Caenorhabditis elegans: one gene and its partner. Changing the gene in region 1 together with any one later gene gives a genetic interaction. Each region holds a gene or a part of one and is shown on either strand. Other genes may lie near its edges.

Region 1 (4,855 bases):
CAGATTGAGCGAGAAGTGAGTTTTGAAGTACACCGAATGTTGATCCTGAAAAGTACGTGTAGAAATAAATTAATAATTTCCAATGAGTAATACCTTGATGTGATGATCCAACACAAACATGCGATAAGTATTGCATTTGAGCGCTCAATTCATTTTCCACTTGAGTTATCAGTTTTTTGAAATTGTTCGCATTATCTTCCATTTTATTCTGAAAGAAATATGTTTCTATATTTTTTAACTTCAAAATTTTAACAAACTTTTCCGATTTGTTTCTCTTTTCCCAAATCTTGAATAATTTCTCGAGCACACTTCATCATCTCATCAATACTTTTTTCAGTCGTCACGATTGCTTGAATCCGATCTGTTAGAACAGGATCGGATGGGTTTGGCTCCATAACTGCAATTTTTGAGTTTTAAATATATTTTATAAACATATATGTTTTGTGAAGATATTTGGAAAATGATAAAAACAAATAAATTTCGTTAGAAACAAGAGTTGAATGACAATTTTCACAGATTTATTGAGAAACCATGAAGAAACCCAGGAAAAAATGGGACTAGAAACAGGTTATGTTATTCGAAGAGAAAATAATAGAATCGGGAGTGGTACACATTTAGAAATGCGTTGGATATAAATGAAAGAGGGGAAAGTGAAAATGGGGGCATCAAATCACAGTGGGAATTTTATATTTAACGGGTTTGGGGGATTGACGGACTATTTTCAATAGTTTTACAAACATTTTGATGGAAAGAAACGTCATGAGCATTGTGAGAATGAGAAAAATAGTTTAAGGCATTTTGGCAGCACCAAATCAGGCACGAATACTTCCAGACGAAACTTTAGGTGGTGGTGGCAGTTGAGAAAGCGGTAGAAAGTGGAACCTATAATTTAAAAGATTGCGAAGAAAAAAAAATGAATTTAAAAAATACCTGTTAAGTGGATGAAATGGAACGTTCGCTGAGACAGTCGCAGTTGATTTCATTCCAGGATACGGTGAAGCAGCCTGCGGTGGAGGTGGAGGTGGGGCAGGTGCTGGAGATGCTGAAATTGAAGGTGCAAATGAAGAAGACGGGGGAAGTGGAGCCCGAGATGATGTTGGAGCAACTGATGTTTTTGAAGCGATTCGTGGAGGTGGTGGGGGAGCATCATCAAGAGTCCTGAAAATGTTCGATTTGTGCCGGTTTTAATTTAAAAAAAAACAATTTGATAACATACACATGAAATTACTCGAAACTATTAACTTAAAATTATTTGTTATTCAAAAAATCGTTAATTTTTCTAACCGTGATATCGCTGGCGACTGGAATCTGCTGGACATTTGTGCTATGGACGGCGTTGGTACTGGCGGTGGTGGTGCAGCTGGGCGAGCTGGCGGAGGAGCTAATGGACGTGCCAGTCTGGTTGCCGACGTCGCTTGCGGTATATCCTGAAATTAAATAAAAATTATTTCATCTGGTGTTACCTTTCTGGACAAAATAACTAGATCATAAAGTGGTATTATAAATTTCTAGTTATTGCGAAACGATTCTTCCTACCTTTACATAACTTCTCATGCTTATCATATTGTCAGAGGGTGAGACGCAGAGTCTATAAGACTCGGCGCACAATATAATTCCGGAGAATAAAACATAAGGAAACTTTAAAAACCACTAAACACTGCAAAACGACAAAATAACAAAAAAAACCTCTGAACTTCCACTTCGTCGATACATTGTCGGTTTCACATCATTTGCTGGTCGTAGAGGTCTCATCGTTCGGAACTGTTCACGATCACTCTGAAACTGACAGAAACACTAAAACATAAATACAATTGGACAAAAAATATTAATTCACATTTTACAGCAAATCACAGAAATGCTTAATTTAATATATCAAGTTGTAAGTTTCTTTTTAAAAATCCTTCGATTTTATTTTTTTACAATCTCTCGAAAGCGTAAACATCGAATTTCAAACTCATGCAAAACTTTACAAACGAATAAAATTAAGAAAAAAAGATGACTTATTCTGCGGAATTTTGGTAATTCTTTAGCACTTCCAAACAGTTATTTTTTTCTTTTTTAAAAAATCATTTCTCAATGACTAACCGATGGTTTCTGCTGAGCTGGTGGCGGTGGAGGTGGAGTCGGTTTTGAGCTTGGAACTGAAACTGGCGGTGGTGGAGGCGGAGGAGGAGGAGCCGAAGATGTGGCACCATGATGAGAAAATGAAGATGATGAGACAATCGATGGCTTTTTTCCTGAAAAAAACATTTGTTTTTTCACTTGGGTTAATTGGAATTAGTGAAAAAACCAAAAATTGGGGGAAAACGACAACAAAAACTGAATGTGTACCTTCAACAGCTGGAACTGGAGCAGGAGGAGGTACTGGTGGAGCTGATGAGGCGGTTGGAGGGGGTCCTGAAAGTGGGATAGAGGGTTATAATGGGTAACGGTTATTTTAAAAAGGGATATCACTGAAAACAATTTTTTTTGCCAGTTTGTTCTCCGTGCGAGAAAAAATACTTTAAAACATTGAAATGTATATTTTCCTAGTACTTTAAATTCTTGTTGTGAATTGCGTTAAATTGCCAAAAAGTTTAAACTTAGATATACCTATACTAGTAGTTGCTCGTCTAATTTTATTCTCGCTTGGTTTCATTGGCATTCCATTCGCAAAAAGACCTCCTAATCCGCCAGACATTTGTGGAGGTTTAGCAGCCGGACCATTTCCGTTTCCAGAATTTCCATTCGATGAAGATCCGCTACTTCCAACGACTTTTCCAACAGATGGCGCTGATCGATCATTCGTGACTGTCTTTTTCAGTTTTAAACCTTTCTGAATATTTAAATTATTTTTACAAATTAAAAAAACTTTAAACTCACATGAATATCGCCAAGAAGAGCATTTCGAGCATTGCTGGATGGTGGCGGAGCCGATGCAGCCGGAGGTGGCGGCGGAGGTGGAGGCGGCGGTGGTGGAGGTGGTGGAGGCATTATCTAAAAGAGTGAAAAGTTAAGGAAGTATGAGCGCTTTTAATAAGACAAACTTTTATGAGTCATCATTGATTTTATCGAAAGATTATTTCAAAACTGAGAAAAGGTTAAACTAGGGAAGAGGAGACATTGAAATTTCTACGAAACGGGGAAAATAGAGTAAAGAAACATTGCTTTCTTTCATGCAGAAAAACAATTGAAAAAAAAATAATCTGTCCCGTCTTGGCCTTCAAAACGTGTGTTTACTCGGCAAAACAACAAAACCAGCGGACACGAGAATCGCGTCAAGGCGACCAAAAAGACGCATGAGGGCTAGTTATTGACGCGTTCTCGGTGCGCGAGCTGCCGGGCATTTCGTGTGTACCCCCAGACTGTGTGTAAACTTCTAGTGCAATGGTAAAGCATAGGGGCGCTACGCAGAAATTGAACTTTTCGCTATTTTATGTCTTTCTTTCTTTCTGTTTTTTTTAATATTTCAGAATAAAATAGTATCGATTTTTTGGACAAATATTTAAATTTAAGCGATTTCTCTTTTACATTTCATTGATTAAGGTTTCTAACAAATAAGTTCAAACACTTTTTTAAAGGTTAAATATCTTCTCTCATTTCTCTGTTCTCTCCATTTGTCGTCAAGGGTACAATCTCAGGCGGATTAAAAACTTTATCGAAAGTATTAACTCTATCCATAGTCTTCTTGTTTTCCAAAACTTCAAACGATTCTGATAAAATTCTTTACCGTCTTATTTTCAGAAAGTTGAAAAAACCGGAACAATCTTTCTGAACAACATTAAAAAATTTAGATGTTCTTCAAAATCGAAAAAGTGGATAGTATGTTCTTCCATGTTTCCATTTTCTAGCTTGTAAATTTATTCAACTTTTTTTGTCGCACTTCGGAATACGTTTTTTAAAAATTTTCCAATGCCAATTCAGTCCAAAATATTTTTTTCCAGGTAAGAAAAACTTGCTAACATCAACAGCAAGTAGAAAAGAAGATCGGATGGCCGAGAAGCAGCCCATGCTCTCATTCGCAAAAGTAGTTTCTGGACAGGCGGAAGACGCTTCGTCTCCATCACAGCAGGTTCAGCACACGCAAGATAGCTCTCATTCTTCTACACAAAACGAAAACAGTCAACCCGAAAAGCAGGCACATCCACCACATAACAGACGTGAAAAGGAAAATGTTGGTGGACGTTCGGAAAGACCACGAGGTGAAGGAAAAGGAAAACGTCGTAATAACAGAAAAGGCGATCGAAAACCGAGAGGAGAGACTAAAACCGAAAAACCAGCTGAAAAGGTAGCAACAGAAGAGGTGAAACCAGTTGAGATTCCTGTTGTGCTGGAACCAGCTCCATTACCGGCTATAAACGCTTGGTTCAAAAACAAAGGTGCGATTTTTTTAAAATTATATATTCATAAACCGAATTGGTTATGCCTTTTTTGAAAGTGTTCTTGGGTTTTCACGTTTTCCAAAAAAAAATCATAGTTTCAGAAGAAGCTGAAGCCGCAGCTGCCGCAGCTCAAAAGGAACAAAAATCCGAAACCGCCGCAGACCAATTTATTATTACTGCAACTCCAGTCGTTCAGAAATCTTCAGCGCCAATTCCAGAAAAGAAACGGGCTGTTGAGCCAACTCCTAAACAAGCAGCGCCAATCAAAGAGAAGTCAAAATCCAGAGAATCAAAGAAAGAGCCATGGAAAACATCCACAGCCCCAGCAGCAACTGCTCCTGTTACTGAAACAGTCACTGTTGCTGCCACTCAGGATTGGCCAACTCTAGCGAAAGCCGAGCTTAACGGACATGTCTCCCCATCAAATTCAGTGAGTTAATTGTTTTTTTTTCAATCTAACACGGATTTTCATAGCCATAGTTGTAAATGAAACA
Region 2 (5,363 bases), 2.5 Mb from region 1:
CTTCAATGTGCATGTACATCTGATGACAACACGATGGGTGTTGCAGCAGAAGATTGTCTTCGAATCCTGGCTTCTCATCTGCCTCTTACGCGTGTCGTTCTGATCTCCAGGCGAATTTTGAGTCAAGATGATGATGATCAACGTGGTGTTCTGATTCTGAAAATGTTGACGAGAATGTTCCAAGATATTGATATTGAGGAGTTACACTTAATTGTCAATGACGTTGCACCATGTTTTGTCACTGCCTACGAATCAATGTCATCTACAGTAAGAAAATGTGCAGTTTTCGGATTAGTCGCCCTGGTTCAGAGAGTTGGAATGCAAAGAATGGAGCCACACTTGAGAACTTTAAATGCCAGTAAAGTAAGGATTTAACTAAATTTCTTGAAGAGACATTCGATTTTCAGCTGAACCTAATTGACCTGTACGTGGGCCGCGCCAAGTCATCCGAATCAGGAGCATCGTCTAACTAGAACACAAGAGCCGGAATGTTTCAACAAGCGGGTCAACTCAATCAGTTTTGTAAAATACATTTGATAAGATTTTATTTTTGATATTATGAACATGCTGATAAATGAATGAGACAGGTGATATCAACGGGTGGCAAAGCAAGAAGTGAACGAGGTAGAGATCAAAGTGTTGGCAAGATAGTAAGAAATGATACAGTACTTGAAAAGAAGGAAAACAAGTGAATAGTAACTATTTAAACGTCTTGGTGTTGCAGTACAGCTGGATGATAACGTTGAAGGTGTTTTGTAACACTATGACCAAACTGGCGAGTCATATCCTTTTCCAATTGTGATGAAGATGCATTAACCAGTACAGAATTGGCCCAATCAAACCATCCAATAAGTGCCGGTACATCAAACAGTTCATCCATAAGCTGAATATTTGGTTAAACATCAAATAAAATTGATTTTCAAACTAACATCTCCAGGCAACAAAGTCGTCACATTCAGATGGGCAATGATGCAGGCAGTCCGTAGTTTTGCGTTTTCAGAGAATCGATGAGGCGTTGCATATGATATAAGCTCACTGAAATTCAGGAAAACTAATTTGTACACAACCTTGTTAAAAGGTATACCTTGACATTCGATGAATTTGAGGACATACGCCACATCTCACATAAACCATCGATGCAACCATGATGAGTGAGGCGAGTAGATCGGAGTCCTTGCCCTGAAATGTTTCTAGTTAGAGTAATCAGACGTTTAAATTCTAAAATTGCTAAGATAAAACACGTAATAAACTAGGAATTGACAAGTTGTGAAACATATGTACTCACCAAAAGACTTGCGTTCTCACCACGTGGCAAAACCAACAAAGGATAAAACATATATTTGGCAGCTTGTGCGAGACGATTGACAACTCCGGCTCTTGGTGGCTCTCGCGTCGTTCCAATTCTTCTGGTATTTGCAGCAATGCGAGCATCCACCATTCGTCGCCATTCAGGAACTAAAAGTCTGTGGGGATCTTCATCCTCATCGTCATAATCAGTGTTTATAGTTCGATGAAGAATAATACTTAACGTTGGACCACCAATTCTCAATTGTTGCGCCATTACACACTCTTCAAGTTTCTTATCCAATGCACCCATTCCATCAGCAGCATTGTGAATGTAATGAAGAAGACGTTGTTTGATACTGAAACCTTGACCTGGTGCAATGATCAGACGCACTACAGATGGGACAATTTCTGGACGCTGAGTGATACATGCAACTGCAATTTCATCAACAGTTTCCTTGAATTTAGGCGTTCCAAAATTGTTTTGAAGATGGAGGATTCGGATGAACAACTTCTCAGCGATTTGTGGAAATCCAATTGGCCGGCGATTGATCAAATTCGTAATATTAAAGAAAGCTGCTTCAAAAACCTCGTATTTTTCTTTCTCTAATAGCATTTCGAAAGCATCTGCAATGTATGCTGGAGGTGTCACTTTATTTTTCGGTTCTTCTCCAATTTCTAAATTCTTGAAGATCTTTTCTGATTCATTAACTTGATAGTCAGGAAAGTCTTCGTCATCATCAGAATCTAAACGTAGATTGTTTTTCGATGTGATTGCTGCCGAATCTTTGTTGTTTTGAAGACGCTGTGCATTGGTTTCTTCAAATTCTTCACCCGAATCGTCTTTGGTTATTTCGTTGGCGGTTTCTCGAACTCGCTCAGAATCTTTCACTGTAGAAGAATTAAATCCATGTTCCAAAATTGACGTCATCTCTTCAAACCATATTTTTCCCACTTCACTTGAAACGAATTTGTTTTCTTCTAGAGTCTCTGGAGGTTGCTCATCTGATCCGTGCGTTTTCGATCGATGCTTTGTCGCTTGCTTGCACAGTGCTTGATTAACAAAAATACCACTTTGGACGTACATAGGCAACATGCTCATTCGACAATGAACTCCATCCATAGAGTTCAGGAAGAGTGACTCCCAATCGATTGAAGAACATGTTCTAAAAGGACAGGTTATTACTGTAGTTCTTAATATATTTGTTACCTGAAAAGATGAACCAAGTATAATATCATTCTGACTATGTGTCGTTCTTGTGATTCTGGAGCACTTTTTGCGTAATTGAGATCACTCCAGATTTTCACAGAAGTCTGGAAAAAAACTTCGCTAAATACGGAAAATATAGATTCAAAACCCTACCTCTAATAGCTGGATGGCAAATTGTTCCTTAGTTCGATAAACAAAATTGATAAGAATCTCGATGGTCTTTCGTTTGAGAACTCGCTGAAACGGGAGCTTAACCATCACTACACGCTTCAGTGTTCCAGTCAGATCAGTGGCTTCGATACATCGCTGAAAGAAACTACTGGTTTTCATATAATCAACTATATTTTAACCACTAACTTTCAAGATTTGGTCACTTTTCGAAATTAGGAACAATGTTGTCAGTAGTGATTCATGAACTTGAATTCCCTGATATGTGGGCTCTTGGAAGATGAGAAACATCATCCGACGCCATTGAGAATCAAAATTGTTTAGTGAACCAATCCATTCAATCATTTGAACTAGAAGCCCATCCTTGTTGGTGATATCTATGTTTCTTCCAGATGAAATAATTTCTGCGACAGTCTTCATATAAGGACCACCGGATCCGTAGAATGAAGTGAACGGGGCAGCAGTTACAATGTCGTCGTGAGCAAGAAGCATAGCCTTTTGAATTCCTTGCACCAGATTCATCTGGAAAATTGAAGTTATCTATCTCGATATTTCACTTATAAACCCACTTTGAATATCCACTTAACCGTGTTGATATATTTGACATGCTCGCCAGACAATGCCTTTGCACAACAATTCGAAACTTTCTCCGGAATATTTGAACATGCTGATGCGAATTCTCGATACAACTGAACTGCACTGACTGAAAAAACAAAAATCCTCAGTTGAAGAATAATTATTTTTGATCACATACCATCAGTTTCTTTAACTTTCAGACTGCTACAAATAGCACTTGTCAGCGATTTTTCAACGACATACTTCAACCAGTCGAGCATGGTGATCACATCTCGAAATGTGGTAGTATTTATATCTGTGCTCACTTTTGTCAAACATTTCGAGAAGCAAATTATCGACTTTGTTGGGCACTGTGTATCAAGAATCGGCTTGATTTGTGTAAGATACTACAATTAGAAATATAAAACATTACACAAATATTGAATTCAGGACAATACCTCGCTATCGGTCAAAAATTTGCCAAAATAGTCGATTGATTCACAGATCGCCTCAACTGCATTGTCGTACTTTTCCGGATCATTCTGCACATCTTTGAAAATTTGAAAAAGCACAGCACGTTCCGTGGCATTTACCAGGCGACTTCGTAAATTCATCTGAAAATTTGTTTTTAATGCGAAGCTCGCGTTCAGGAAAGGTAATTGAACGTGGAGTAGTAAATTAAACCAGGTTAGGGTTTAATAATGCACGAGAAAAAATAGAGGTAAATACGTTTATTGAGATTCTGAAAAAAAAATCAAAAAATATGTTTTAAAAAAAGTGAAATTACCGGTAAAATAATAGGAAACAAAAATAGGATCCGCGTTTTCTTAGGATCCACGTTTTCTACTTTTCTCCCGATGATGATGTCTCCGGAAATCATCTCCTTCACTTTGACGTTTTCTTTGTCGACGAGAGTGGGGAGAATCAGATGGAGAATCAGAATCTTCGGATGAAGAGGATGAAGCTGAAAAAAAAAGTTTAATTAAAAAATAGACAATAATTTTAAGGTAACTCACTGTCATGTCTATTAGTTCGTCTTCTTCTAGAAGTCTTATTTTTATCTCTCTTCTTATCCTTCTCTGCTCCTGAAGCTTTCATCTTCTCTTTCAAGCGTTCTCGCATTCGAATTTCCCTCTGCTGAAGTAGAGCTTGCCTCAATGCGTCTTCTTGTTCTACAGGTTGTTCTTCAAGTTCTTTGATTTTGCTCAGCTCATCTTTCAACTTTTCTTCTTCTTTTCTCTTTCGTCTCTCTTCTCGTGCTTCAATTTTTTCAAACAGAAACTTCAAAAGACGAACACCTTGCAAACGGCGAGTGGCTCGTGATCGTTGCTCTGCTTCAAGTCGTTCCTTTTCAAGGCGTTTTTTCTCTTCTTCAGCCATTCGTTCGAGTTCCCTCTGAAATTTCGTATGTTTTATTATGATTTTTTGAAACGTTTCAAGTGAACCTTTTCGCGGCGTTTCCGTTCTCTATCTTCTCGTCTTCTATCTTTATCATCGAGTTCTTGTTTAACTTTCAGTTCTTCTTGACGTCTGAAGAGGTGAGTTATTTTTAAAATTGTAGCATCAACAAACTTGATATTCAACTCCTCTTCTTCTTGCCGCAGTCGTTCCGTTTCAATTTGACGTCGTTCTTCCGCTCGCTTTGCAATTTGAACTTCGCTGAGATGACGTGATCGATCGAAATCCACCTATGAAATTTTAAGCTATTTCTCAACCTTAATTCTGGGAAATTAACTAACCTGTAGAGTGGCACGAGGTGATTCGTTTCAGCGAAGAATATGCAATTTTTAAAATTGATATTGAACGTTTAGAAATAATGTGATAGATTTTTCAAAATTGCAAACTAACTCTACTACCCTACTATACCTTGACATTAGCCTGAAAGAACCGTCCATCAATTCGTTTTGCCCATTTACGATTTCTCAGGGAATCCATGGCAGTGGCGAAACCTTTATACTCCATAAATTGCACATATGCTTCAAAAAATACATCCTAAAAATTCAATTCGTTTGATTTTACAAATAAAACACTGCGATACCTGCCCTAATCCGAAACCTTTTTGCTGAATACCAGAGATTTTTGAATTCATTCGAGATCGGAGTGGGTCACAAATTGGAATGTCGACAACTCTAACAGATCCGAACGC

What was found. A genetic interaction does not mean that the proteins touch.
Region 2: changes in wip-1 (region 1) and clk-2 together harm fitness more than expected from each alone (negative genetic interaction), as found in Caenorhabditis elegans (one large-scale study listed by BioGRID).

Annotation. Positions count from the first base shown.
Region 1 is NC_003281.10:5,016,766-5,021,620, reverse strand, and holds wip-1 (WH2 domain-containing protein), read right to left. Parts: upstream 2,983-4,855; 5' UTR 2,974-2,982; coding exon 2,863-2,973; intron 2,816-2,862; coding exon 2,593-2,815; intron 2,398-2,592; coding exon 2,332-2,397; intron 2,238-2,331; coding exon 2,086-2,237; intron 1,783-2,085; coding exon 1,687-1,782; intron 1,428-1,686; coding exon 1,285-1,427; intron 1,159-1,284; coding exon 931-1,158; intron 883-930; coding exon 813-882; 3' UTR 501-812; downstream 1-500. Other genes in the region: mdt-11 (Mediator of RNA polymerase II transcription subunit 11), read right to left, coding at 1-45, 94-208, 258-395; larp-1 (La-related protein 1), read left to right, coding at 3,971-4,358, 4,463-4,791.
Region 2 is NC_003281.10:7,514,694-7,520,056, forward strand, and holds clk-2 (Telomere length regulation protein clk-2), read right to left. Parts: upstream 3,832-5,363; coding exon 3,676-3,831; intron 3,625-3,675; coding exon 3,417-3,624; intron 3,366-3,416; coding exon 3,232-3,365; intron 3,185-3,231; coding exon 2,852-3,184; intron 2,801-2,851; coding exon 2,648-2,800; intron 2,599-2,647; coding exon 2,495-2,598; intron 2,451-2,494; coding exon 1,286-2,450; intron 1,180-1,285; coding exon 1,085-1,179; intron 1,036-1,084; coding exon 930-1,035; intron 884-929; coding exon 704-883; 3' UTR 529-703; downstream 1-528. Other genes in the region: cls-1 (Protein CLASP-1), read left to right, coding at 1-363, 408-473; akap-17A (RRM domain-containing protein), read right to left, coding at 4,045-4,181, 4,234-4,612, 4,663-4,747, 4,790-4,905, 5,084-5,209, 5,256-5,363. UniProt on the Caenorhabditis elegans protein: DNA damage checkpoint protein required for DNA damage-induced cell cycle arrest and apoptosis, thereby playing a role in genome stability. Regulator of telomere length.